Macaca mulatta: one gene and its partners. The main gene of each other region encodes a partner of the protein of the gene in region 2 in a complex. Links are inferred from orthologs where the notes say so. Each region holds a gene or a part of one and is shown on either strand. Other genes may lie near its edges.

Region 1 (4,968 bases), on a different chromosome or scaffold from region 2:
TGGCGAGATCACAAAATAGCGAAATACGAAAACTATTCCCTGCACCGCATGATAACTACATTAACTAAACTAACAATCAACATAACAGAAACATAAGCGATCGTCAGGAAGAATCAGATAGGAGCAATCAGGGTGTTGCAAGTCCTGATTACGCAGAGACGTTAATCACGTTTCATGCATTCTCCAATCATCATGTTCTAATCTGCCCTCCAAAAGAGGAACAGGTAAGGATTATCCCACCTGACGATATTTCTAAATAGCCGACATTCCGCACTCAGTCAAAAAGATTCCGTTTACAGCTAGGGTGAGTTCACGACGCGTTGGTATAAGTAACCCTACTACTTAGCATCCTTCCAGTTGTATTGCCATATTTGCTTGCACATTTTTAAAAGAATTTTTTCGTTCGGCTGCCGAAAAGGAATAAATTTCTTTTTCCCAGAATGCTCCGATCATTTACGTGCTGGACGTTCTAACTGTAAGCACTTTCTATTTACATATCTCCGCCCACTCCCTTCCGCCAGACAACTACCGTAATAACCAAAATAGAAGCGATACCAAGTATCTTACGGTCTGCAGAACTAGAAAATAACGTTGCTTCTTTTTTTTTCTTCAGTAGTTTCGCCATTTCAATTGTGCCCTGAAAACTGTATATGTCTTAATCTTACTACAAAACATATTTTATTACAAACCACTAAATACAATGCGGATAATCCCAGACTCAAGACGTAATTATTCCAACACATATCCTCCAGCAGAAGCAGTTTCCGAGGGGAGGACCGAAGCCTATGCCTTCCTTCTTCCAGGAATACGAAGCGGCCCTTGCCCCTGTAGCCTTCGTCCTTAGGTTCCCGTCATGAAGGTGCTCAGAAAGGCTTCTTTTTCAGCCCAAAGACGGTGACGAATAAAGTCATTTCAGTGACAGCTGGAAGGGCACTACCGAGGCAAGTGGTAGATTCAGAAACCCGTTCAATATAAATACCCAAATCTCCAAACCAGAGACCCCACCCCTGAAAGTGTAGGACAGGTGGCATGGGGTAGGGAATGAAAATTCAAAAGACTACAGGATGTTAAGTGGATCTGGTATCTCCCACATAGAGGAAAGGGCTGGGTAGGGGAAAAACCCTCAGGTTTAGGGTCAGCCTTCCTCCCTCATTCCCGAATATTGGATGCTACCACACCTGCAGAAGACAAAAATGTACCAATACGTAGTGCACTCCCAACGCTCGAATATGAAGAAGGACAGGGCCACGGATGCACTACAGTGAGCCCCAATGGCTTGAGAAGGCACCACAGTTAAGGAAAGTCTTTGGATCGACAGATAGTGAGGGGTCAGAAAAGGCCAAAGGCCAGTGGTGGGGTTGGCATCTGCATTCAGGTTCATCGTTTGCTCCCTCACCATATTGCAAGGGCTAGAGTCAGCATCCCCGACTTCTGAATTTTAGGACAGTCATGTGAGGAGAGACCAGAAGTGACTGCGCAGATGGGATCTCAGGCTACCCTACTCCATATCTAGGGGCCAGCCTGGATCCTTCAGATGAGAGGTAAGAGTAGGCTCTCCTGCTATGCCACACAGGAGTGCTGACAGCGACTTGATATGCGCTGGAATCAGCCTCCAGTGTCCTGGTCCTCCTGGTCCACAATTCTCTGACCCATGTGCCTGGCTTCCGTTGCCTCTTCTGAGTTCCCAATGTGCTTTATATCTTTCGTTTTTTGCCAGAGTCTTGCTCTGTCGCCCAGGCTGGAGTGCAGTGGCACGATCTCGGCTCACTGCAACCTCTGCCTCCTGGGTTCAAGCAATTCTCCTTCCTCAGCCTCCTGAGTAGCTGGGATTACAGGAGTGCACCGCCACGCCCGACTAATTTCTGTATTTTTAGTACAGACAGGGTTTCACTATGTTGGTCAGGCTGGTCTTGAACTCCTGACCTCAGGTGATCCACCTGCCTCGGTCTCCCAAAGTGCTGGCATTACAGGCGTGAGCCATCGCACCCTGCCTGTGCTATCTTTACACACTCCCATAGCACACTGCTTATCACACTGAATTACAGATGTGTATCTACCTCCTCATGGTTAAAAAAAAAAAAAGTGGAGTTTTTATTATTACTATTTATTTTGTAGACACGGGGTCTAACTATGTTGCCTCCTGCGCGGGCCTCCCACAGTGCTGGGATTACAGACGTGAGCCAACGTGCCTGGCCAAAAACTGTATTTTACTCTCATTTCGGAATTTTAAGTGCCTAGTAAACAGCAGGATTTAGCACATGGTTGAAGATCTTTGAACTGGAGAGACTGGCTACAGCAGACACTATTGTGTCAGGTGGCTGAAGGGAGTCCTGATAGAAATGGGTCGTGTGGGAAAGGTGGGCAGGCAGAAAGGATACAGATGAGGCTCTGGGTGCTGTTGAACATGGAGACTCCTGAGAGGAAACCGGCCAGCTCCACTGCAAAGAGGCCCAGGGTGACAGAAAGCGCGGCCACCAGCCTGCAGAGAGGAAGTGGACTGGCCCAGGCCTTTGGACTTCTTCTAAGACCCCTCCACTCCCACCACCTCTTCGTTCTGGCCACCCCGTCCCAAGAGCTCACTGAATGTCCTGCTTGTCATACTCCTCGGGGGTGAACCTGAGAGGCAGGCAGGCCTGAATGTTGCTGTCCTGGGAGCAGGGCAGAGAGGAAGAGAAGTGAAAAAGGGGCAGGCTGCTGGGCAGGCCTAGGGACGGCGGAACACGAGAAAACCCAAGTGGGTAAGACACTGGGAGAGGGGCAGGGTGGGGCGGGGACGACTCCGAGATGGGAATGGGGGCGGACGGAGGGCAGCCGTGGGTCTTACCCGGGACCAGAATAAAGTGATGACGACCACCAGATGCGCCAGGAGCGTCAGGAAGCGAGAGGGCACAAGCCCTGAGACCCGGCCCATGGCCCTTGGGAACAAGAGCGGCGGTCTCTGAGGCTGGAAGTTCAGAGACTGCGACTCCCGCAAGTCCACCAGCAAGCGGACAAATCTAGACGAACTCCTCCTTTCCGCCAGCTCAGGCACCGCCCAGTTGCCTTGGTAACCGCGTACGCGGGCGTGCTGCCGCGTTCTCGGAAAACCTCGCGAGAGCAGTACATTCTCCATCTGCTGTGGGTCTTTCAGGGCTAACTCAGGTCAGGGGTACCCGAAGGAGCTTCTAACCCAATGGCTGGGTACCCGTGCGCAGCCAGGCCCTTTGTTTCTCAGAGGGTGAGGGGTGGCACAGCCCCGCAGCGCCCGATCTGCCCACGCAGGGCCGACGAACGGAAACCCACCCTGGCCTAGCCTGGGGACACCTCTGCTTCCGCGGTTGCCCACGCCGGGAGCGGCCCCCAGCCCCAGCTACGCTGCCCAGTTGTGGATCACTTGAGATCACTCCCACCGCCACGCCGGGCTGAGGTCCCCGCCATGCCGAAGACTCACACCCGCTCCCCTTCCTCCTCTCCTCATGCCTTTAACTTCCCACCAAGCTGGGCCTGAGAAACAAGGGACCCGAACGTGGAGAGGCCGGTGTTCCTGGACTGCTCGGCAGTTACAGATTGTCACAGAGCCCCTGGTTGTCTGAGGACCCTAGGCCTGAACCTTCCTTGAGGAAGACTGATTTCTCTCAGACTACTTTGCTCAGTTTGGTGAAGGATTTGCAGAGTGCAAAAAGTGGTCAGCGTCCTTAAACTAGCGTGGGAATAAGAGCAAAGCAAGGTGGCTGGAAAGGTGGGAGTGGACGAAGGGAATGGTACAGTCCCTGCGTCTCTGGGAGGCTTGGAGCCTACGGGAAGGGAAACTCAACTTAGATTTCTTTATCTCTTGGAGGTGCTGGACCTCCGACATTGCCCAGCTACAGTCCAGGAAGCTCTTATCACCGGCGACGTCATGACCTTTGGGCCTCAGCGCAGGTCCCTGCAGATCTGAAAGTTCTTCTCTAATTGCTCAGTCAAGTCCCATCCTCAAGGAAACTCCCGGCCCATTTCCCAGGAGAACAATATCTTCCTACTTCCCACTCGACGTCTCAGTGCCTTTAGCCAGACTAAAGTACAAGCCCAAGAGGCATTTCTCATTCCTTCAACAAATATTTTTATATATTTATTTATTACCTAGTAATAGTATTCTAGTCAGGGAGATCAACAACAGACATGCAAACAAATAAATCCGTAAGATAATAGGTGCTACAAACAGGGATACGCGGGCCAGGCACAGTGGCTCACGCCTGTAATCCCAGCGCTTTGGGAGGCCCAGGAGGGCGGATCATCTGAGGTCAGGAGTTCGAGACAAGCCTGACCAACATGCTGAAACCCCATCTCCACTAAAAATACAAAATTAGCCGGATGTGGTGGCGCGTGCCTGTAATCCCAGCTACTCGATTACTACTACTCGATTAGCTACTAAGGCAGTGGAATCGCTTGAACCCGGGAGGTGGAGGTTGCAGTGAGCCGTGCCATTGCACTCCAGCCTCTGCAACAAGAGCACAACTCCGTCTCAAAAAAAAAAAAAAAAAAAGGAAACGCTAGAATTATAATTCTATAAAAGTAGGGCATTTATAATTCTATAAAAATAGGGCATTTATTCTTAAACTTTATTTTAGAAACTTTGGCCAGAAATTGACCGGGAGTGGTGGTTCGCGCATATAATCCCCGCACTTTGGGAGACCGAGGCAGAGAGATCACCTGAGGGCAGGAGTTTCAGACCAGCCTGGCCAACATGGTGAAACCCCATCTCTACTGAAAAAAAAAAAAAGCCGGGTATGGTGGCGCGCGCCTGTAATCCCAGCTATTCAGGAGGCTGAGGGAAGGAGAATTGCTTGAACTCGGGAGGCGGAGGTTGCAGTGAGCCAAGATCGTGCCACTGCACTCCCGCCTGGGAAACAGAGCAAGACTTAGTCTCAAAAAAAAAAAAAAGGAAGAAAAAGAAAATGCACTCTGGGACCAGAAGCGAAAGCTCATGCCTGTAATCCCAGCACTTTAGGA
Region 2 (4,455 bases):
TATCATTAGACATTTGTTTACCTCAGTGATATTTGGGTAGCAACTCGAATTACTCTTGGCTGACTTCCTAAGTCATTTTCTCGTCCACTTACTGCATCCACTAAGAAAATGCGCCGAGTTAGAAGCCACTTGCCAGAGTTGCTGTCTTTTATTATAAAAAGAAAAAAGTTTACTGTACAAATTTAAAAGATAAAATTATTGTTTTAGATAAGATGGCTGCAAAAAGCTACTAGTATAAGAAACACCTGACAATGGCCTTCTCTAACTCATGTGAATGTCTTCTGATTTTTTTTTTTTTTTTTTTTTTTAGAGTCTCACTCTGTCGCCCAGGCTGGAATGCAGTGGCGCAATCTTGGCTCACTGCAAGCTCTGCCTCCTGGGTTCACGCCATTCTCCTGCCTCAGTCTCCCGAGTAGCTGGGATTACAGGTGCCTGCCACCACACCCAGCTAATTTTTTTGTATTCTTTAGTAGAGATAGGATTTCACCATGTTAGCCAGAATGGTCTTGATCTCCTGACCTCGTGATCTGCCTGCCTCAGCCTCCCAAAGTGCTGGGATTACAGGCGTGAGCCACCGTGCCCGGCCTCTTTTGTTTTTTTTTAGACAGGGTCTCACTCTGTTGACCAGGCTATCGTGCACTAGCATAATCATGGCTCACTGCATTCTCAACCTGGGCTCAAGTGATCCTCCCACCTCTGCCTCCAGAGTAGCTGGGACTACAAGCTTGCACCACCACACCAAGTTAATTTTTTTTTTTTTGTAGCAACAGGTTCTCATCATGTTGCCTGGGTTGGTCTTGAATTTCTTGGCTCAAGCAATTCTCCCCTCTTGGTCTCCCAAAGTGCTGTGATTATAGGTGTGAGCCACTGCGCCTTGGACTTGAATGTCTTCTGATTGTTTGAACTTTGCATAAATTTGGAAGGCTTTTCCCTGCAAATTACCTGAAAAAGCGGAATTTTATAATATGAGTAATAACAAAAGAAACTAATTTGTCCAAAAAAGCATATTCAGGACAGCTTGAAGAAAAAGCCCCAATTTACAGTTATACTAATGTTTCTCAGGATATACCCTCAGCAACAGTATAATTTCTTCACGATATGTCTGGTAATAAAATTAGTAAAAGTTTCTAAATCCACCATCAATATATTGTTTTATTTTTTGGTACATTGTATAGAACCATATAAGAGAGAATTCATGACCTTTCTTATGTGGTTTATTAAATTATCGTGTAGGTTAACTTATTTATTGATTTCTGCTCAGGGAAAAAAGTGGTATGTATGGATGTCTTACCTTGGTTCACAAATATCTTATTGTGTTGAAGATTTAGGTTTAACACAGGCACAGCCAAAATATATTGATGTTGATTTTCATCAGCATATTCAAGGTACACATCATAAAATATAGGAGTGGGAAAGTCAATTAAGATCTTAGAGATAGGAATCTCACACTGAAAAGTAAAATTAAAAATAAAAGCACATAAAACAGCAACTTAAAGTACTAAAAAGCAAAAAAAAAAAATCACAATTGAAAATTAGCAAGCATATTTATTATCTTCAGAATGTTTTTCTAGTTGTGCAAAATATCTTTATACTACCTTGTTTATATGCATTTCCATTTGCCTTCCAAAACCTGAATACTGTAAATATGATTATTTTATAAGGACCAAAAACACTAATAGTAAATAACTGCTTTGAGAACTTTGAAAACTTCTTAAGCCTCAACTCAGATGAAGGAGGTATGTTTTCATTCTCAATATTAAGTGTACATCAGTGAAAAGGTTTAAAACTACTGTCCTATGGGATAAATTCCCAATTTTTTCTCCTGCTGTACAATGATGTCTATGATCTGCCTTCCATTAACCAAGCCAGGTTTCTCTCTCATTACTCCCTATCTGTCTATGGTGGTCCATTCATACTAATCTACTTGTAGTTTCTAAATATGCCATGCTACTGTATGCCTCTCTGTCATTGCAAATGTGGCTTCTGTCTGACATTTCATTCCCCACTGTATTCTCCTGGAAAACTCATATTCATTATACAAGCCCAAGTATCACTTACTTTGTGAAGCCTTTCTATACTTCCCCAGGAATCAGTACCTTATACAAACCTATAGAATGACACTTACATTCTTTGCAATTCTTTGTCTATATAACTGTTTTGCCTACTACACTATGAAGAACTTGAGAGTTGGCCAGGTTCAATGAAATAAAAATGCTTTTTAAACCTGATGGAACATTGGCTCCACAGTTTATGTGACACAAGTCTTTGAGTAAATTACCTAATTACCTGGCATAATTTCCTCATCTGTGAAGCACAGATATTATGTATCTCACATAGTTATTTTATGAATCAAATGGAATAATAATGATAAAATGCTGAGCACACAGAGACAGGCATTACATAAATGTTGATCTTTCTGGCCTATGTTAGAAGCACAATAACATTTATTTTAAAAACAACAACAACAACAACATGTAAATCATTTCTGACAAAAGAAGTAAATTCATGTTCATGGTAGAAAATTTGGAAATTATAAACAAGAAAACAAAAACAATTTCTGACCCCACTATCCAGAGGTAATCACTGTTAGTAGATTCTTCCAATCTACTTTCCATAATGGTATTTTTTGTTGTGGTTTTGTTCTATGGTTGTGTGTGGAACTTTATCAAGATATATTTTTACAGACTAATGAATTTATATGGTTTGGCTGTGTTCCCACCTAAATCTCATCTTGAACTGTAGTTCCTATAATCCCCATGTGTCATGGGAAGGACTGGAGGGAGGTAATTGAATCATGGGGGCGGTTACCCTCATGCTGTTCTCATAATAGTGAAAGAGTTCTCATGAGATCTGATGGTTTTATGAGGGGCTTTTCCCTTTTTTGCTCAGTATTTCTCTTCCTGTCACCATAAGTTTCCTAAGGCTTCCTCAGTCATGCTGAACTGTAAGCCAATTAAACCTATTTCCTTTGTAAATTACCCAGTCTCGGGTGTGTTTTTATTAGCAGTGTGAGAATGGACTAATACATGCATGTCTTTCAAGTATTTAATGGCTCATAATATTCCTTAGTAAGATAATGTAATTTCAAAATAGGTACCAAAGTAAGGAATGTCAGAGAAGGAAGGAGAAAGAAAAAAATGGAGGAAGATGAAGGAATTATTTTTGTTTGTTATTAGGGGGTAGAAGAAGGGAGTAACCTTTATTAGTCATTTAAAAAAAAGTAGCATTTTTACGTTATTTCAAAATGCTCAGAAGTAAGCATTACTTTTTAAGACCTATAAGCCTAGAAGCAGATAAACAATTTATTACGAAGATGTATTATATGATGTTTAAGACTCTAGGCTGGGCGAGGTGGCTCGCACCTGTAATCCCAGCACTTTGGGAGTCCGAGGCTGGTGGATCACTTGAGGCCAGGAGTTTGAGACCAGCCTGGTCAACATGGCAAAACCCCATCCCTATGAAAAACACAAGAATTAGCTGGGTGTGGTGGTACATGCCTGTTGTCCCAGCTACTCAGGTGGCTGAGGCACATGAATTGCTTGAACCCAGGAGGCAGAGATTGCAGTGAGCCAAGATTGCAGTGAACCAATATCGCACCACTACACTCCGGCCTGGGCAACAGAGTGAGATTCTGTCTCAAAAAACAAAACAAAACAAAACAAAACAAAAACCTCTATAGATAACAAGGTGCTCTGTTTATGCCACTGAAATTAAGCTTTTCTGTACCCAGGTAATAAAAAATTATATTAATTAGTGAAATTATTCATCACTATTAAAAACATTTCCGGCCAGGCACAGTGGCTCATGCCTGTAATCTCAGCACTTTGGGAGGCTGAGGAGGGCAGATCACCTGAGGTGGGGAGTTCGAGACCAGACTGACCAACATGGAGAAACCCCGTCTTCAGCCGGGCATGGTGGCACGTCTGTAATCCCAGCTACTCGGGAGGCTGAGGCAGGAGAATCGCTTGAACCTGGGAGGCGGAGGTTGCAGTGAGCTGAGATCGCGCCACTGCACTCCAGCCTGGGCAATAAGAGCAAAACTCTATCTCAAAAAAAAAACACAAAAAACAAAAACAAGAAAAAAAAATTCCAATCTCAAAATTTAAGTATTATTCCAATTACTGCTGATATGATATTTTGAAAAATAAAGCTAAAATATAGTCTAATATAGTTCAAACTTACATTTTGTTGGTAGGTTGTTCCAAATGAATAAGCAGCATTTAGCCTTGTTTCTGTGTCTGGACAAAGCTACAGTAAAATAATACAACACATAAATATCTCTCACAACTGTTTTCTATTCTTATACTCACCCAAACATGGATATATGCTCTACATCATACTTATGTAATGTATCAAGGATATGAAAAGTTAAGGGAACATCTGTTATAAATTAAAGTCATAACTTTAAAGAAATAAAGCTTTGCCAGGCACGGTGGCTCACGCCTGTAATCCCAG
Region 3 (4,974 bases), on a different chromosome or scaffold from region 2:
AAAACAATTCAAAATAAAATTAATGACAATTACATCCTAGGGAACACAAAAAGACATACCTCCAGTTCATTTTCCAGTTTCATTACTTTAGTTTTTAATTGATTTTCTATTTAAAAAAAAAAAAAAGACAAATGTTTTAATTGATTAGTTACCACAGAACAAACTTTTACATAAATTTTAATAACAAAATTAATTCTTTTAAAAGAGTCCATCATGATTATAAGGTAACAAAAAGTATTATACGGCAGATCCATAAAACAGGAGTCTAGAAATATGTATTATTAAATAAATGTTATATATTAAAAATAAATTGAATATATACAGTTTATAGAATTTAATTTTCTACAGCTTAATGAACAAATGGAACTCATTATTTAATAACATAATAAACTTTTTCCAAGGTGCTTACCAAATTTTGCTTGTTCTTCTCCAGCTTTTTCTACTTCCTCCAAAGCCAGCTCTACTTCTTGAGCTTTCATCTAAACATTTAAAAAAAGTTTATTTCAATATGCCTTTAAACTGGAATGTAAGCACTGAAAATAAAAATTTTGTTTTCTTATGCTCATTAGTGCCAGCAATGGCTGGCACATGGAGACTTTCAGTAAATATTTGTTGAATGAATAAATAATTTTTTCTCTCCTTTTTTTTCGCTTTTGAAATAGGGCCTCACTTTGTCACCCAGGCTGGAGTGCAGTGGCACAATCTCAGCTTACTGCAACCTCTGCCTCCTGGGCTCAAGCAATCTTCCCATCTCAGTCTCCTGAGTAGCTGGGACTACAGGTGCATGCCATTATGCTCAGCGTGCCATCATGCTCGGCATGCCATCATGCTTGGTGTGCCATCATGCTCAGCAAATTTTTTCGTAGAGGCAAGGTCTCACTATATTATCCAGGCTGGTCTCCAACTCCCAGCCTCAGGCAATCCTCCTGCCTTGGCCTCCCAAAGTGCTGGGATTATAGACGTGAGCCACCATGCCAGGCAATTTTCTTACTTAAGACGACAATTTCTAGATTTTTAATAGCATGAAACATTTTTGATTCTCCCTTTTACCTCAAGTCCTCAAGTCTTATATCCAGTAAAGCAACATATCTCTTTGTAATGTTTTTCCACTACTTTTTTTCTGTTCCAATTGCTATTATTCTAATGCATAATTTCAGGTTTAAACTCCTCTATAATGTGATGTTTGCAAAGCTCCGATTTCCTTCAGTTTGTCCTATATAATAGACTCAGTTTTGCCTTCCTAAGGCCTATTTTTGTACCTATCAACTGTGGTTCGAAAACGCCTTCTCAATTGCTGACAGCATAAAATACACCTTTAATGACCTCAAGAACCTATCTCAAAGTACCTACCCAAGATTTGTTTTCTCTACAGCCTGCTACAAACTTGCTGCACCGCATTTCCTCAAATGTAAAGAATAAACTTATTTCCTATCCTCAATATTTATTTATGGTAACCAACAGCTCTAGAATTCCCTTACTATCTTACCACTGCATTACCTTCCACTTACCTAAAACTACTCCTCAGTATTCATCCTCTGTGAAGTCTTCTGACACCTCTTAGATCACTTCCCCTCTTAACAAATCCCTATAGCAGTCATTGTCTGCATTTGTCATTTGGACCTCAGGATATATTTCCTTATGTTATTTTTCAACATACTCATTCTATTTCCCCTACATACCCTTTTAGAAACTTTAAGTAGAAACTAGCAATGTTTTACATACTAAAATACTTAATCTACATTTAAATATATTGCACTTTTGAGGGGTGATGTAGATATTACCAAGTATTTTCACAAAGATTACTTTATATAAGAACAGATTTTTATAGTTCCTCTAATAGCCAAACCTATCATTAAAACCTACTACATACAAACCTTCATTAGTGACTGAGTAATTCTGAAAAGGTGTATCACATTTTCTTGCTTTTCACTTTTTAGCTCATTTACTTCCACCTAAGTAAACAGAAAAGCAACTGTTTTATATTTTATAACCTTTAAGCAAAATATAAGAACTCTTCCAGATTGTGACAATTAATAGTTGTTTCTGAAAAAAAAATTCATATTTTATTAATAATCATAAGTTAATGTATATATCTATTATTATTGACCAAGTAAGCACCTTGGATAAGGAAATCAATAAATTATCTGCCAGTTCTTCTTGACGGGGCAGGTCATCTGGGTCAACTTTCATTATTTCTTTCCAGTTTATATTAGGTGGCATCTTGAATTCTTTCACTGTGCTCCACCTCTGTAACAAAACAGGTGGATATTAGCATTTTCAAGGTACACAGCATTATTGGTTTTCTAATAGCCTACATTTTTTGCAGATTATTTCATTATAACTTTCTTATGTTAGCAAAGAACTATGCCTTAGCCACAAAACAGACAAGTGGGCAAAATAGCCTTGATCAAAAATAGCAGTCGGCACAAACTGTCAGAGAGTGTACCGGCTAAATAAAATGTGACGGCTTCCTTGCTAACACTAATATAAGTTAGGACTAAGATTTCTGGGTCCCTTCCTCCACACCGCCTACCCACAACGCGCGCGAACACCCTAATCTTGGCAAGCGCGAGGGTCTGTGGAAGGCTGACAATGATCCTTGATTTGGAGAAGCAGAATTGGGGCTGGAAAAAAAAAAAAAAAAAGAAGCAGAAATTAACAATTGGAATGAGTGAAGTTGTGCGGCGGAAACCGGAACCGAAGTAAGGCAGGATTACGGACCCGAGGCTGGAAGGGACGGGGTAGCTGCGCTGCGGCACACGGGCCCTAAGGCTAAAGAACCTGAACGTGGAGTGACTCGCTGATCCTGCTTACAGGGATCCACCCACCTACACCAAGCCTGGCAACCAGCGGAGGTCCCTCACTACCACAACCACCAAGCTGGACAGATCCCTATCGCGGTTCCACGCGGACTCTGGGTCCAGCCAAATGGTCCCCAAGGAAGCCAAAGCGGCAGCGGCTGCTAAGCGACACCATCCCTAACTCCGCCGGGGCCAGAAGAAGATCCCGGATGCAAAGAGAGCCTACAATTCACGACCGTGGGTGATGCTTTACGTTTAGATTCTCCGCCGGAGTCCCAGGACTCGGTGTTCAGGATGATGAGAAGGCGTGGAACGAGGACTCCAAATCCCAGAGTGCAGATGTGCCTGAGGTTTGTGCATGCTGGGAACTGAAGTCCCTGAGAAGAGGAGATAAGGCGCTCCCGGCGTGCAACGCGGAAGGCTGCGACGGTACCGGGGCGGCGGGGAAGGACCGAGAGGCGGGAGGCGCAGTGGCTGAGGCGCCTACGAGCTGGTGGCCTGAACGAGGTAGACCATGACTGTGGCTTTAGTGGCGTCACTCGCTGGGCCGCTCTTCATGAGGTTTTCCTAAGCCATCCCCTGGCGGAACCGCTTCCAGGTGAGGTCGAGCTGTGGGTCAGCGTATCAGGAGGAGTTGAGGGCAGCAGTCTGGGTTAGAGAAGCTTCTGCTATTGGGGCCGTAGGGCCTGGCCCCATTCTGAAAAAGTGGAAACACCCTGCCTTCTCTTCAGGCGTTTGCAGGCGGCGTCCAAGGTAGTGCCTTCTGTAAGAAGGAAAAAACAAAAAGTTTTAGCCTTGTTTAGTATCAGAATCTTTCTTGGTAGAGTGAGAGCCGCGCAGCCGTGATCCTCGTTTGGGGGCGAGCGAAGAATTGACAAGAGGTCTCGGCATCCTCTGACCCCGCCAGCCTTACCTGTAGCACCATTCCCTTCGCAGATGGTGGGACTTGATGGTTGTGGAGCTAGTATAAAGGGAAGGCTCTAGAGAGGAGAGGTTAGTGCTTGTCCGGGCCACTGCCGGGGGTGGAGAGAGAAGGTACCCGAGGACTCACCTGTACTATTGTCACTGCTTGGTTACCTAGGGTGTCCTTCCATGAAAGCGCCTTCTCTGGTGTTTACCACGCTTACTTGTGCAAGTTTTGCTCATCTGCTCATAGCCATACTGGAGTGCGATACACCTCTAACTAACTTTCCTAAGAAGCTGTAGATTTAAATCTAAATGACATTTCCAACTATCTGTACCAGTGCTTCTCATCTTTCTTTTTTTTTTTTTTTAACGCTGCTTTAAAAAAAATTTTACTATACTTGATGGTAAATTTTCCTTTCGAAAATAAGTAATGAATTTCTTTTTAAACTCCCAATTTGGGTAAAATAAATAGCTCAGTACAAAATAAAAATATACTGGTTTTGTGAGATAAATTTTAAAGACATTAGTTAGATTTATAGGAATGACAATTTTACTACTTTTCTGAAAGATTTTATGCCAAATACTATTCATTATCTTGTTTATTCTTCCTTACAATCCAGTGAAATAGGTGCTTACGTTGTCCTCATTTTCCATCTAAGTTAAGAAACTGAGGTTTGGAGAAGCTAAGTACTCTAACTTAAATAGTGTGATTGAACACAGATCTCTCTGGCTGGAGGACATATTCTTAACTTCTATACACCTCCTCAGACATTCTGGGAAACCAGTATTTGTGAAGTGCTTGTGCCTCAATCTTGCTGTTTTTATTAAATGTTATATTTTAATTTTGTACGTGTTTACTCAATTAATTTGAATTAAATATTCTTCATGTTCAGTGTTCTTAATTCATAATTTAACATGAGATGATGTTTCTGGAAAGGGGTTCTGATCCAGACCCCAGGAGAGGGCTCTTGTATCTTGTCAAGAAAGAACTGGAGGTGCACACATCCCCATTGGAGGTGCTAGACTAAGGATTCTTATAGTTATTTCTTGATTATATGATAAACAAGGGGTGGGTTATTCATGAGTTTTCTGGGAAGAGGGTAGGCAATTCCTAGATCTGAGTGTTCCTCCCCTTTTTAGACCATATAGAGTAACTTCTTCACATTGCCATGGCATCTGTAAACTGTCATAGCGCTGGTGGGAGTGTCTTTTAGGATGCTAATGCATTATAATTAGTGTATAATGAGCAGTGAGAACTACCAGACGT
Region 4 (5,100 bases), on a different chromosome or scaffold from region 2:
GTCCGCCATCACACCCAGCTAACTTTTTTTTTTTTTGTATTTTTACTAGAGACAGGGTTTCACAGTGTTAGTCAGGATGGTCTCGATCTCCTGACCTTGTGATCCGCCCTCCTCAGCCTCCCAAAGTGCTGGGATTATAGGCGTGAGCCACCACGCCCAGCCTACTTTTTATTTTTTTGAAATGTGGGGTCTTGCTATGTTGCCCACACTGGCCTTGAACTCCAGGGCTTAAGCAATCCTCCTGCCTTGGCCTTGCAAAGTGCTAGGATTACAGGTGTGAGCTATCATATCTAGCTGCAAATATTTTTATCTCATTTACTTGATCATTTAGAAATGTATCTCCAGGTCTTGAGATAACATTTGCATTGAAAATTCTCAATTTCTCAGTTTTAGGCATTCTCTATTGAGTTCCCACAAGGAAAGATGATTTAGCTTCTTCTCTCCCCCAACTCCTCCCACCATCCCCTATCACATTCTCAATACCTTTCTCATTACCCCCAACAGAGTTAAAATCTCTTTTTAGTCAACATTCAGTGTTCATATAATTAAGACTATGTAAATCCTATTCACAACTCTCATAAGTTTTCAGTTCTCAGTTTTCCTTACTTTTCATTTCCCTGCAGTTAATAATGATTTGCTTAGTTTTCTATGTACTTACCTAATTTCATCAAAGAGCTGCTATTCCAATTCCTCACAATCTGATGTTTAAAGGCATACGATTTAGTCAAAACCTTGTTCACAGAAATATTGTCCCTAGGCCAGGCACGGTGGCTGACACCTGTGATGCCAGCACTTTGGGAGACCAAGGCGGGTGGATCACCTGAGGTCAGGAGTTCGAGACTAACCTGGCCAACATGGTGAAACCCCTTCTCTACTAAAAATCCAAAAATTAGCCTGTAATCCCAGCTACTCGGGAGGCTAAGGCACGAGAATTGCTTGAACCCAGGAGGTGGAGGTTGCAGTGAGCAGAGATTGCAGCACTGCACTCCAGCCTGGACAACAGAGCAAGACTCCGTCTCAAAAAAAAAAAAGAAGAAAAAGAAAGAAAGAAAAAAAGAAATGTTGTCCCCAATAGTGAAAAAGTCAAAACAAACCTCAAAAAGAATATGGCTGATTAATAAGTATTGATACATATACAAAACTGGGCCTTCAATTTTGGTCATTATATCTACCTGTAACTCTATATTATTTTAGAATGAGCATGCACTTTTGTAATCAGAACATAAGAACATTCGTAAAGTAACAGGAGAAAAGTAACCTGAATCATATTAGGTTGTTGCAAAAGTAATTCCGGTTTTTTTGCCACTACTTTTAATGGCAAAAGCCGCAATTATTTTTGCGCCAACCTATTACTATTCTTTTTTTTTTTTGCAGTTATTTATATGACCAATTGGATTTTAAAAATTTATTTCTATTTATTATTATTATTTTTTTGAGACAGAGTCTCGCTCTGTCGCCCAGGCTGGAGTGCACTTGCGCGATCTCGGCTCACTGCAAGCTCCGCCTCCCGGGTTCACGCCATTCTCCCGCCTCAGCTTCCTGAGTAACTGGGACTACAGGTGCCCGCCACCGCGCCTGGTAATTTTTTGTATTTTTAGTAGAGACGGGGTTTCACCGTGTTAGCCAGGATGGTTTCGATCTCCTGACCTCGTGATCCGCCCGCCTCGGCCTCCCGAAGTGCTGGGATTACAGGCGTGAGCCACCGCGCCCGGCCCAATCGGATTTTTAAAAACAATTTTATTTAGTTGCTGGGAACAAGTCTGATTTTCTTTTCTCCTCAGCTATACAAGGTTGGCTTGTAGGGCAATCATCTTAGAGATGTCTGAAGAGATTCAACTTTGAAAGAAGGAAAACCGTAAGTGTCATACTTCTAAAGGAAAACGTTTTCAGAAAATGAGTGAAAAGGAGTGACTATAAAGGAAGCATTCGCTTATCTCAAAGCAAATACTAAATTACAGATTCCTCTCAGCACTCTACTGATGAAAAATTTAAAAATAAATAAATAAACTACAGACAGTAACATGCTTCAATTTCATCCCGACAGCTTCAGGATGACGCAGTCTCCAATGGGACAAACCCAGGGAGGCGTGACTCGGCCATAGCGCGTTCTGGGAAGGCCGCTTAACCAATCAGCGCCTTGGTTTCCAGGGGTCAGGGCTCCATAAAAATGCCGCCCTTTCCGCTCCTACAGTGGTGTGATGCAGAAACGCCGCGACAGAATGGGGTTACCTACATTAACAGCGCGCTGCCTTCAAGGCTCCTAAATGGACTTTCACAAACACCCTCCATCAGGCCAGGCCCGCGGGTGTGACGGGGGCAGACGCAGGCTGCCTCCACACCTCTGGACTCTGTATCAGGGCGCATATGCTGACAGCGTGGCTAACTTTCTGGGGGCCGGGGACGTCTGGGAGAAGCAGAATGAAACAGAAAATCGATTCCCTAGGTCCCAGGAGATGAAACGCCACCTTTGCGGGTTCGCGAGTCCTTAGGATCCAAGCTGGGTTCCCCAGGGCCGGGGCCGCTCGCCCCACATCCTCATTCCCGTCCCCGTCCCCACCCCACCGCCCGCTTTGCCCCAGGCCCAGGCGGGAACCACGCACCGAAACGAGCGGGACGCGCAGGCGATCCCCCTGCAGCCGGTTGAAAGCGGGGAACGTGCTCCAAGCGAGGAACCCGCCGCTCTCGGGTCCCAGCAGGGCCACGAGCAGCACCTGGTGTTGGAAGCGCACGGTCGGCTGCTCCTCGTAGCTGCTCCTCTTCAGCCAAAACCCTGAATTAAAGAAGGTGGGGAGGCCGTCAGGGAGGCCGGCCCCGGCCGAGCGCGCCCGGGGAGTCGCGTGACACAGCGGCTGGGGCAGGCTCACCGTGGCTCCGGAAGGCCACCAGCAACGGCGGGATGTACGTGAGCGCAGCGGCCAGCAGCAGGAACAGCGCGGCTTTGGAGCAGAGTCCCGCGCGGTAGCTGCGCTCGACCGGGTGAGAGAAGAGATCGTAGAGCGCCATGAGCACCGCGCGCCGGCACGCCGCGAGCCGGAGGACCAAGTTTGGCTTCTCCTGGTTGCCATCGCCTCGGTCTCCACGGCAACCGACGGCTCCCGGAAAGGAGCCAATAGCAAGGCCAGACCGAAAGGAGCCAGCGGCGAGGGCGGGGTTAGCGGGCGTGGCGCCGCCGGGGACTGCCGGCCTAGCTTTTCAAGCTGTGTCCCTTTGCGTAAAGGCTGGGCGGCGATAGAACGTTTCCGTGGACCAAAGTCGTGGCTGTTGTCTGTGTTAACATTTGTGTAAAATAAGATGCCCATAAAAGTTGACTTGAACACTGAGGAGGAAAAATTAAATATTTAAATTTGAACTGACATGGACACAAACAATGGTCACCAAGTTCCGAAACAGGTTGTGGGAGCCCCTTGAGGCGTTCATCCAGCGCTGTTTCGCAGAAATCTCTATTTCGTTCTATTCCTATACGTTAGTTATTGAAAAACAACAATCACAAAAACAAGTTGACCTTTTTGTGTTCCTTGAGCCCAGCCACGAAGGGCCCTCGTGACTGGGCCTCATGTCAGACAACATGTTACAAAAAGAGCTAGGATCCCAGACCACCCAAAGCTTCATGACACCTCTTCTCATCTGGGCACTGACTGAAGAGTGGCCGGCTCTGGAGCTCAGGCTCTTGCTTCCCAGTCTGGAGGTGAATCCTCCATAGTCTGATGAGTGTAAATATATATATGTCTTTTTCCTTCTCCTCTTCCCATTGCAATTTGCTTATATCAATCTGCTTATTATATTAATTTGCTTATTATAATATCTGCATTGCCATTTACGTGGGATAAAGCTTGCTTACCCTTAAAGGTATTGTGTGTGTGCCTTTTCTTCTCCCCTCGCGCTCCTGCACACAACAAACACCTGCTTTTGTGTCATCTGTTAATCCCCAGTGTAGTTCCTACTGAAATCCACTCAGTCACAAGCCTGGCCGCGGTCCTGGACCTGGTCCTGGGCTAAGACCAAAGCCAGGTGTCTTTGCTCCCAGATTTTCTCTTGCTTCCACTATGCTCCAATGCAAGACAAGACACGGAAACACAAATCCCCTGGCTCTTGGAGGGATAGAGTGGAATATTACAAAGCTCTGATGCACTTTGTTAACCCTGTGTTGGGTACAAGCTCAGCGGCGAGTTTTATAGGAAGCTGTGGTCCTCCCCAGAGATCACTGGCATATTGCTTAATTGAATGCTTACACCCCCCACCGCCCCCAACCATATTTCGAACATGGTAGAAGGACTTTAAAAAAAACAACTATGGTCCACAGCCAAGTTCTTCATCAAATGGCCCTGAATGGCTGGGCGCAGTGGCACATGCCTGTAATCTCAACACTTTGGGAGGCCAAGTTGGGCCGATCACCTGAGGTCTGGAGTTCAAGACCAGCCTGGCCAACGTGGTGAAACCTCATCTCTACTAAAAATACAAAAATTGGCCGGGAGCGGTGGCTCACGCCTATAATTCCAGCACTTTGGGAGGCCCAGGTGGGTGGATCACGAGGTCAGGAAATCGAGACCATCCTGGCTGACACAGTGAAACCCCGTCTCTACTAAAAATACAAAAAATTAGCTGGGCGTGGTGGCGGGTGCCTGTGGTCCCAGCTACTCGGGAGGCTGAGGCAGGAGAATGGCGTGAACCTGGGAGGTGGAGGTTGCCGTGAGCTGAGATCATGCCACTGCACTGCAGCCTGGGCGACACAGCGAGACTCCGTGTCACAGAAAAAAAAAAAAATTATCCAGGCATGGTGGCAGGCGCTGGTAATCCCAGCTATTCTGAAGGCTGAGACGGGAGAATCGCTTGAACCCGGGACGGGGAGATTACAGTGAGCGGAGATCACGCCATTGGACTCCAGCCTGGGTGACAGCGAGACTCCATCTCAAACAACAACAACAATAACAACAACAACATAAAGGTCCTAAGTGGCTGAGCATAGTGGCTTATGCCTGTAGGTCCAGTTACTTGGGAGGCCTGGGTAGGAGGAAGGCTTGAGCCCAGGAGGCTGCAGTGAGCCATGACTGCACCACTGTGCTCCAGGCTGGGAGACAGAAGGAGACCTTGTCTGTAAAAAAA
Region 5 (4,916 bases), on a different chromosome or scaffold from region 2:
AAGCCAATGAGAATCCTGAGAGCCCACAATATAAAGTAAAATCAGGGAGACAGGTAAAAAACGGGGAGACAGAAGCATTACAGAAGGAAAGAGTTTTAAAGGAGATGTAGCCTATATACTGTGTGGCATCAAAAGGGGCTGGAGGTTTTGAAGAAAGTCCACTGAATCTGCAAGAAGGAAGTCACGTGTGTCAAAGCTGTTTATGGAGGGGCAGAAACCTAGCAGGCTGGGGCTGAGGGGTGAATGGAAGGTGACCCCTGTAGAAGGGACATGTAGACAATTCTTTACAGAATTCTTCCAACTGTCTTTCCACCACCCCTAAAGGCAGTGACATGAGACAGTAACTCTGGGACAAAAACACTGTGGAAGGATTATGCTGTTTGTTTTAAGATTGTTTCCATGCCACTATCACCTTACCCTTTTAAAAAATAAATCATCATCTACACAGCAATCAGTGTAATTTTCTAAAATTCAAATGTGACGGTGTCATTTCTTTGCTTAAAATTCTTCACTAGCTCCCAATCACACACTGAAAAAAATATCAAGTCCTTACCACTGAGGTCCAAGGCCATTTATGAAATGTCCCCTTCACACCATACACTGTGTTCCAGCCATGTGAAACTACCTCCAGGCCTTCACATGTGCCACGTCCTCTCTTGCTTTTGTATCATTACACATATATCCCCTCTCCTGAAAAATGTCCTTCCTCCTTTGTCACTCTAACAAACTCCTCATTATCCTTTGAAGGCAAGTATCTTCTCTAGAGAGCATTCGCACCTTGAAGGGCGGTGAAGCACTTCTCTTCTGTGCTCCCAGGGTGCCTGAATCTTTGTAACTCCCTCCACCTCAGCCCTGAATTTTCATCCTGGTTAAATGTTCTGTCTCCCACCAAACTGCTAGCTTTGGAGGCCACGCCAATGCTCTCTATAGTTATGTATCTGCCACTATGAAAGAAAAGAGGAGAGAGAAGAGAAAACACGAGAAGCAAAGCAAAGCGAAGCAGTAGCAACGGTCCTAGAGTAAAAAAGACTCAGGTTTGACCTCCAGTGTCACCACTTACTGATGTGTGGCATTGGGTAAGCTACTTAATTTCTAATCCTTGGTTTTTCCTTGTCTGGGAATTTAAAATGGCACCTGTTTTAGTACTGCAAGGAGAAAATACCAAAAAGCAAAGTAATGAGTACACTGCAATAAAATTACTTTATGTCCAGTATTATTGTATTAAAAATAAGTAATTATTAATAAAATACAGAAATCATAGAATTATTTACTGTTAATAGCTTAATACACAACTGAATAAATACTAATATTATTTAATAACACAGCAAATACATTATAGAAATCATCTCTAATTTTTTTTTTTTTTGGAGACAAAGTCTTGCTCTGTTGCCCAGGTTGGAGTGCAGTGGCACAATCTCAGCTCACTGCTGCCTCCGCCTCCTGGGTTCAAGCAATTCCCCTGCCTCAACCTCCCTAGCAGCTGGGACTACAGTTGTGCGCCACCACGCCCGGCTAATTGTTGTATTTTTAGTAGAGATGGGTTTTCACCAACATTAGCCAGGCCGATACTGAACTCCTGACCTCAAGTGATCCACCCACTCTTGATCCTCCCAAAGTGCTAGGATTACAGGCCTGATCCACTGCGCCCAGCCATCTCTAAATCTTAATGTGTACTACAGCAAACATATGATAGAATTAATGACTAATATTTAATTAGTAACATTATCTGCGAAAATTCAGGTCGGACTTTAAAAGAAACCTCCGAATCTTATATATTCCATTATTTTACAACTTCTCCCTCACAAACCCTTTCACAGGAGCTTCTAAGAGATACTATGTAGGAAAATTAAATGGATTACACCTCATTTCATTTTATTTTACAGACCACCTGATTATCAGCCAATATGTGACTCAATATCAATGGGAGAAAAAATTGAGAGGCTTGATAATTCCCTCTTTAACCAAATGTTATCGCAAGGGAAAAAAAGACAAACAAAAATCCTGTACACAACATTCAATGAATAGATCAACAAGATTCTTCATAAGTACACAAGATTCTAACTTCATAAATATTATTCTTCATAAACAAGATTCTAAGTATGGTTTAAAAACACTTTTGGTATTTTAATTTTTTCAAGCATTCTTTAAAAAATTTCCCAGAGTACTCATAAGAAGCAATCTTCCTCCTAAACCAAGCAATAACAGTAACTGCTAATGCAACAGGTGAAAAAACTGTTGGCATCTCTTTCTCAAAAGGGAAAAACTTTATTTTCACATTAGATGTTTTCACAGGAATGCCAAACGCAGCACAACCTTTGATAAGGATGCTTAAATGGTCTACATTTTTATTCTATTTTTATGCATCTCGAAACAACCCTATTAATATAATCTGGCTCTTATAAGTTTAACAAATTGATCACCTTTTCTCAGACGTAATTAAGTAGGCTTTGACAGGTTGAAGATTCAGCCCCAGGATGACACTCTAAAAGGAAATAAACACACTCAGTACGCATCTGATTTAAAAGCATTTAAACAAGAATCGGGAGTAGGAAAGGCAAAGATTGAATTCCCTATCAGAACACCATGCTCAACTCTCCGGAGACACCGAGACCAGTGAAAGAAGCGGAAAAGTACGTTGAGGACTCCGGGAAATCGCATTCCTCCGGGACACCCGGCCCACGCTCCCCGGTCAATCCGCGATCAGCCCCCGCGCTCTCGGACTCCAGCAGCCCCGACACGCCGCCCCAGAGAGGGCCGGGCAGGCCGAGCACCCCGGCCCGCGCTCCCGCCACCAGCGAACCCACGAGGTACTTACGGAGAGGAGGAGTAGGCAGAACCGTCCGTCCCGCCCAAGCCGACACCCGGAACAGTGCAAATCGACTCCCCCGCGCCCAGCGGCGCGGGCGCTAAGTGAGGCGGCCACGAAGCCACCTTACCCGCCAGGGACCCGGGTTCGGAGAGCAAGCCACTGCTCTGTGCCGCAGTGCGGACGACTCGCGGCCTGCTGACGTCAGCGCCTGCCTACACCGCCGTTCCCATGGCGACCGACGCGTCTCGCGCGCTAGGCCCGGACCGCGGCCCCGCCCCCGCCCCCGCGCCGCCACCGCCTTCGCCTCCGCCCGGGAGAAGGGGCCGCGCGGCGCCTGCACCGGGGCCCTCAGGCTGTTGGTGGGCGCGCGCTTCGGGGACCTTACGGGCCTCCAGCCTCCGAGGCCGTGCGAGCGGGAAGGGAGTCGGAAATGCGCGGGTGCTCCCACAGAGCTTGAGTCTTCCCCGCCTTCACCTCCAAAAATACTCTTTCCGCCTTAGAATTGTAGCAAGCGCAGGGAAAAACTGACGGGGCAAAGGAAAACTGGGGAGGCTGTTATGGAAGTCGCCCAAAATAAGAAAATCAATGAATGAGGCAAATAAACAGATTTGTCACTCCCCACGCGGTCGCGCCCACAAAAGAAAACATGATTTTAAAGCGTGGAAAATGAAGTTGTACTACAGACAAAATCTTAAGAAAAAATTATGCACGATTCCTTTAGAGCTATCTCCCTGTGTGTGGAAAACAAAAGTTAAAACGCCATACTTTTCTGTACCTAACGCTCCCTCCCACTGTTCTGATTTCTGCCGCAGGCGCCATCTTCAGCTCTGAGTCACCAGGGCTGGAAAAATACTAGTTGCGCTACTCGTGGACTCATGAATACACGCCATTTCCTGTACCTACAGCCACGCGCTGTAACCTGTTGCTTCGTTTGTACAGAGAGAGAGTTTATGGAGGCCAGCTTTTCCATTCTCACTGGCATTGCCACACCTTACAAACTATATCTCTATGCCATGTGCTTCCCTAAATCCTTTGAGGAAGCAACGAGAAAGATTACTAATCCGCTGTGTACAAACTGAGCTGTTCAACTTTGCATTCTAAACCTACTCTCCTAGATTTCTATCTTGCTGTAAGCCACCACTATCTTGCTGTAATCTTGCACTATCAAGTGTCAAACACTTGCTCCCAGTGTTTTAGTAAGAACTGTAGAGTATTCTAAATGCATCTTATACCAAAGCATATTCATTCTCTCTTTTTAAATTCCTCAGGTGGGCGCTTTACCAGTCCTGTGACTCCAGTTTTGACTCTTAAAATTCCCCACACTGCTATCAGAATGTCCTGACTAAAAATGTAAATCGGATAATGGCTCTCTCTTGCTGAAAATTCTTGAAAGGCAACGTGTAAGAGAAAATGATTGCTTTGCCTAGGATACAATATGCTCCATCTCCCTGACTAATTTCATCTCTCATTAGCTTATTGTTCCAATTTTATGCAATATTGAATCATGTGTATCATGCAGTTTTATGCAACATTGAATTATGTGTACTATGAAAAACAATCCATAGCCTTGCACGCCCTGTCCTTACACATATTGTTCTCTCTTCCTGAAAATTCCTCCTTTTACACTACTGCATATCACAGTCAAATGTTGTCCATCCTTCGAATCTTAAGCAGGTTGACTGACTCCTTCAAATACTCCTACTCCTTATTAGATTTTGGATATTCATTCCGTATATTAGACTTTGCATACTCATTCTATATTTTCATAGTTTACATTGTATTTTTTCTATCCCCAGTATCTACCACAGTATCTATGAAATAGTTGGCATTTCATGAACATTTGTTGAATGAATAATGGATAACATATATTGAGCTCCTTCTAGGAGCTATGCATTGTAGGTGTTTTATGTACTTTTCATTTGTCCTCACAACTGCATTTAAGTACCCGCTTTTCCAAAGGGAAGTTATGACTCTGGCTGCTCATTCTTAGTAGGGTTTTAGTTTCAGAATACGATTCCCAGACTTGGGGATGTGTAACCCTGTTATCATCTCTTGCTTCTTAGCATGCAGAGGTGCAGTGGGGTGGGGAGGTCAGGGAATATTTTGT

What was found.
Region 1: TMEM67 (region 2) and TMEM107 share a complex: the UniProt entries of both Homo sapiens proteins name them as parts of the tectonic-like complex. The link is inferred for Macaca mulatta from reciprocal best matches to the Homo sapiens genes TMEM67 and TMEM107.
Region 3: TMEM67 (region 2) and CEP290 share a complex: the UniProt entries of both Homo sapiens proteins name them as parts of the tectonic-like complex. The link is inferred for Macaca mulatta from reciprocal best matches to the Homo sapiens genes TMEM67 and CEP290.
Region 4: TMEM67 (region 2) and TMEM231 share a complex: the UniProt entries of both Homo sapiens proteins name them as parts of the tectonic-like complex. The link is inferred for Macaca mulatta from reciprocal best matches to the Homo sapiens genes TMEM67 and TMEM231.
Region 5: TMEM67 (region 2) and AHI1 share a complex: the UniProt entries of both Homo sapiens proteins name them as parts of the tectonic-like complex. The link is inferred for Macaca mulatta from reciprocal best matches to the Homo sapiens genes TMEM67 and AHI1.

The regions. Positions count from the first base shown.
Region 1 is NC_133421.1:9,692,184-9,697,151, forward strand, and holds TMEM107 (transmembrane protein 107), read right to left. Parts: upstream 3,004-4,968; 5' UTR 2,912-3,003; coding exon 2,825-2,911; intron 2,649-2,824; coding exon 2,581-2,648; intron 2,498-2,580; coding exon of another isoform or gene 2,480-2,497; coding exon 2,379-2,479; intron 1,542-2,378; exon of another isoform or gene 1,443-1,541; intron 1,276-1,442; coding exon 1,179-1,275; intron 934-1,178; coding exon 864-933; 3' UTR 609-863; downstream 1-608. UniProt on the Homo sapiens protein: Plays a role in cilia formation and embryonic patterning. Requires for normal Sonic hedgehog (Shh) signaling in the neural tube and acts in combination with GLI2 and GLI3 to pattern ventral and intermediate neuronal cell types.
Region 2 is NC_133413.1:104,177,280-104,181,734, reverse strand, and holds part of TMEM67 (meckelin), read right to left. Parts: intron 4,249-4,455; coding exon 4,183-4,248; intron 1,449-4,182; coding exon 1,292-1,448; intron 146-1,291; coding exon 22-145; intron 1-21. UniProt on the Homo sapiens protein: Required for ciliary structure and function. Part of the tectonic-like complex which is required for tissue-specific ciliogenesis and may regulate ciliary membrane composition.
Region 3 is NC_133416.1:95,386,399-95,391,372, forward strand, and holds the start of CEP290 (centrosomal protein of 290 kDa), read right to left. Parts: upstream 3,004-4,974; 5' UTR 2,829-3,003; intron 2,724-2,828; exon of another isoform or gene 2,534-2,723; intron 2,248-2,533; 5' UTR 2,221-2,247; coding exon 2,119-2,220; intron 1,953-2,118; coding exon 1,875-1,952; intron 480-1,874; coding exon 410-479; intron 107-409; coding exon 60-106; intron 1-59. UniProt on the Homo sapiens protein: Involved in early and late steps in cilia formation. Its association with CCP110 is required for inhibition of primary cilia formation by CCP110.
Region 4 is NC_133425.1:70,906,280-70,911,379, forward strand, and holds the start of TMEM231 (transmembrane protein 231), read right to left. Parts: upstream 3,004-5,100; coding exon 2,865-3,003; coding exon of another isoform or gene 2,771-2,864; coding exon 2,601-2,770; intron 1-2,600. UniProt on the Homo sapiens protein: Transmembrane component of the tectonic-like complex, a complex localized at the transition zone of primary cilia and acting as a barrier that prevents diffusion of transmembrane proteins between the cilia and plasma membranes.
Region 5 is NC_133409.1:40,602,386-40,607,301, forward strand, and holds the start of AHI1 (jouberin), read right to left. Parts: upstream 3,004-4,916; 5' UTR 2,816-3,003; intron 2,483-2,815; exon of another isoform or gene 2,421-2,482; intron 1-2,420. UniProt on the Homo sapiens protein: Involved in vesicle trafficking and required for ciliogenesis, formation of primary non-motile cilium, and recruitment of RAB8A to the basal body of primary cilium.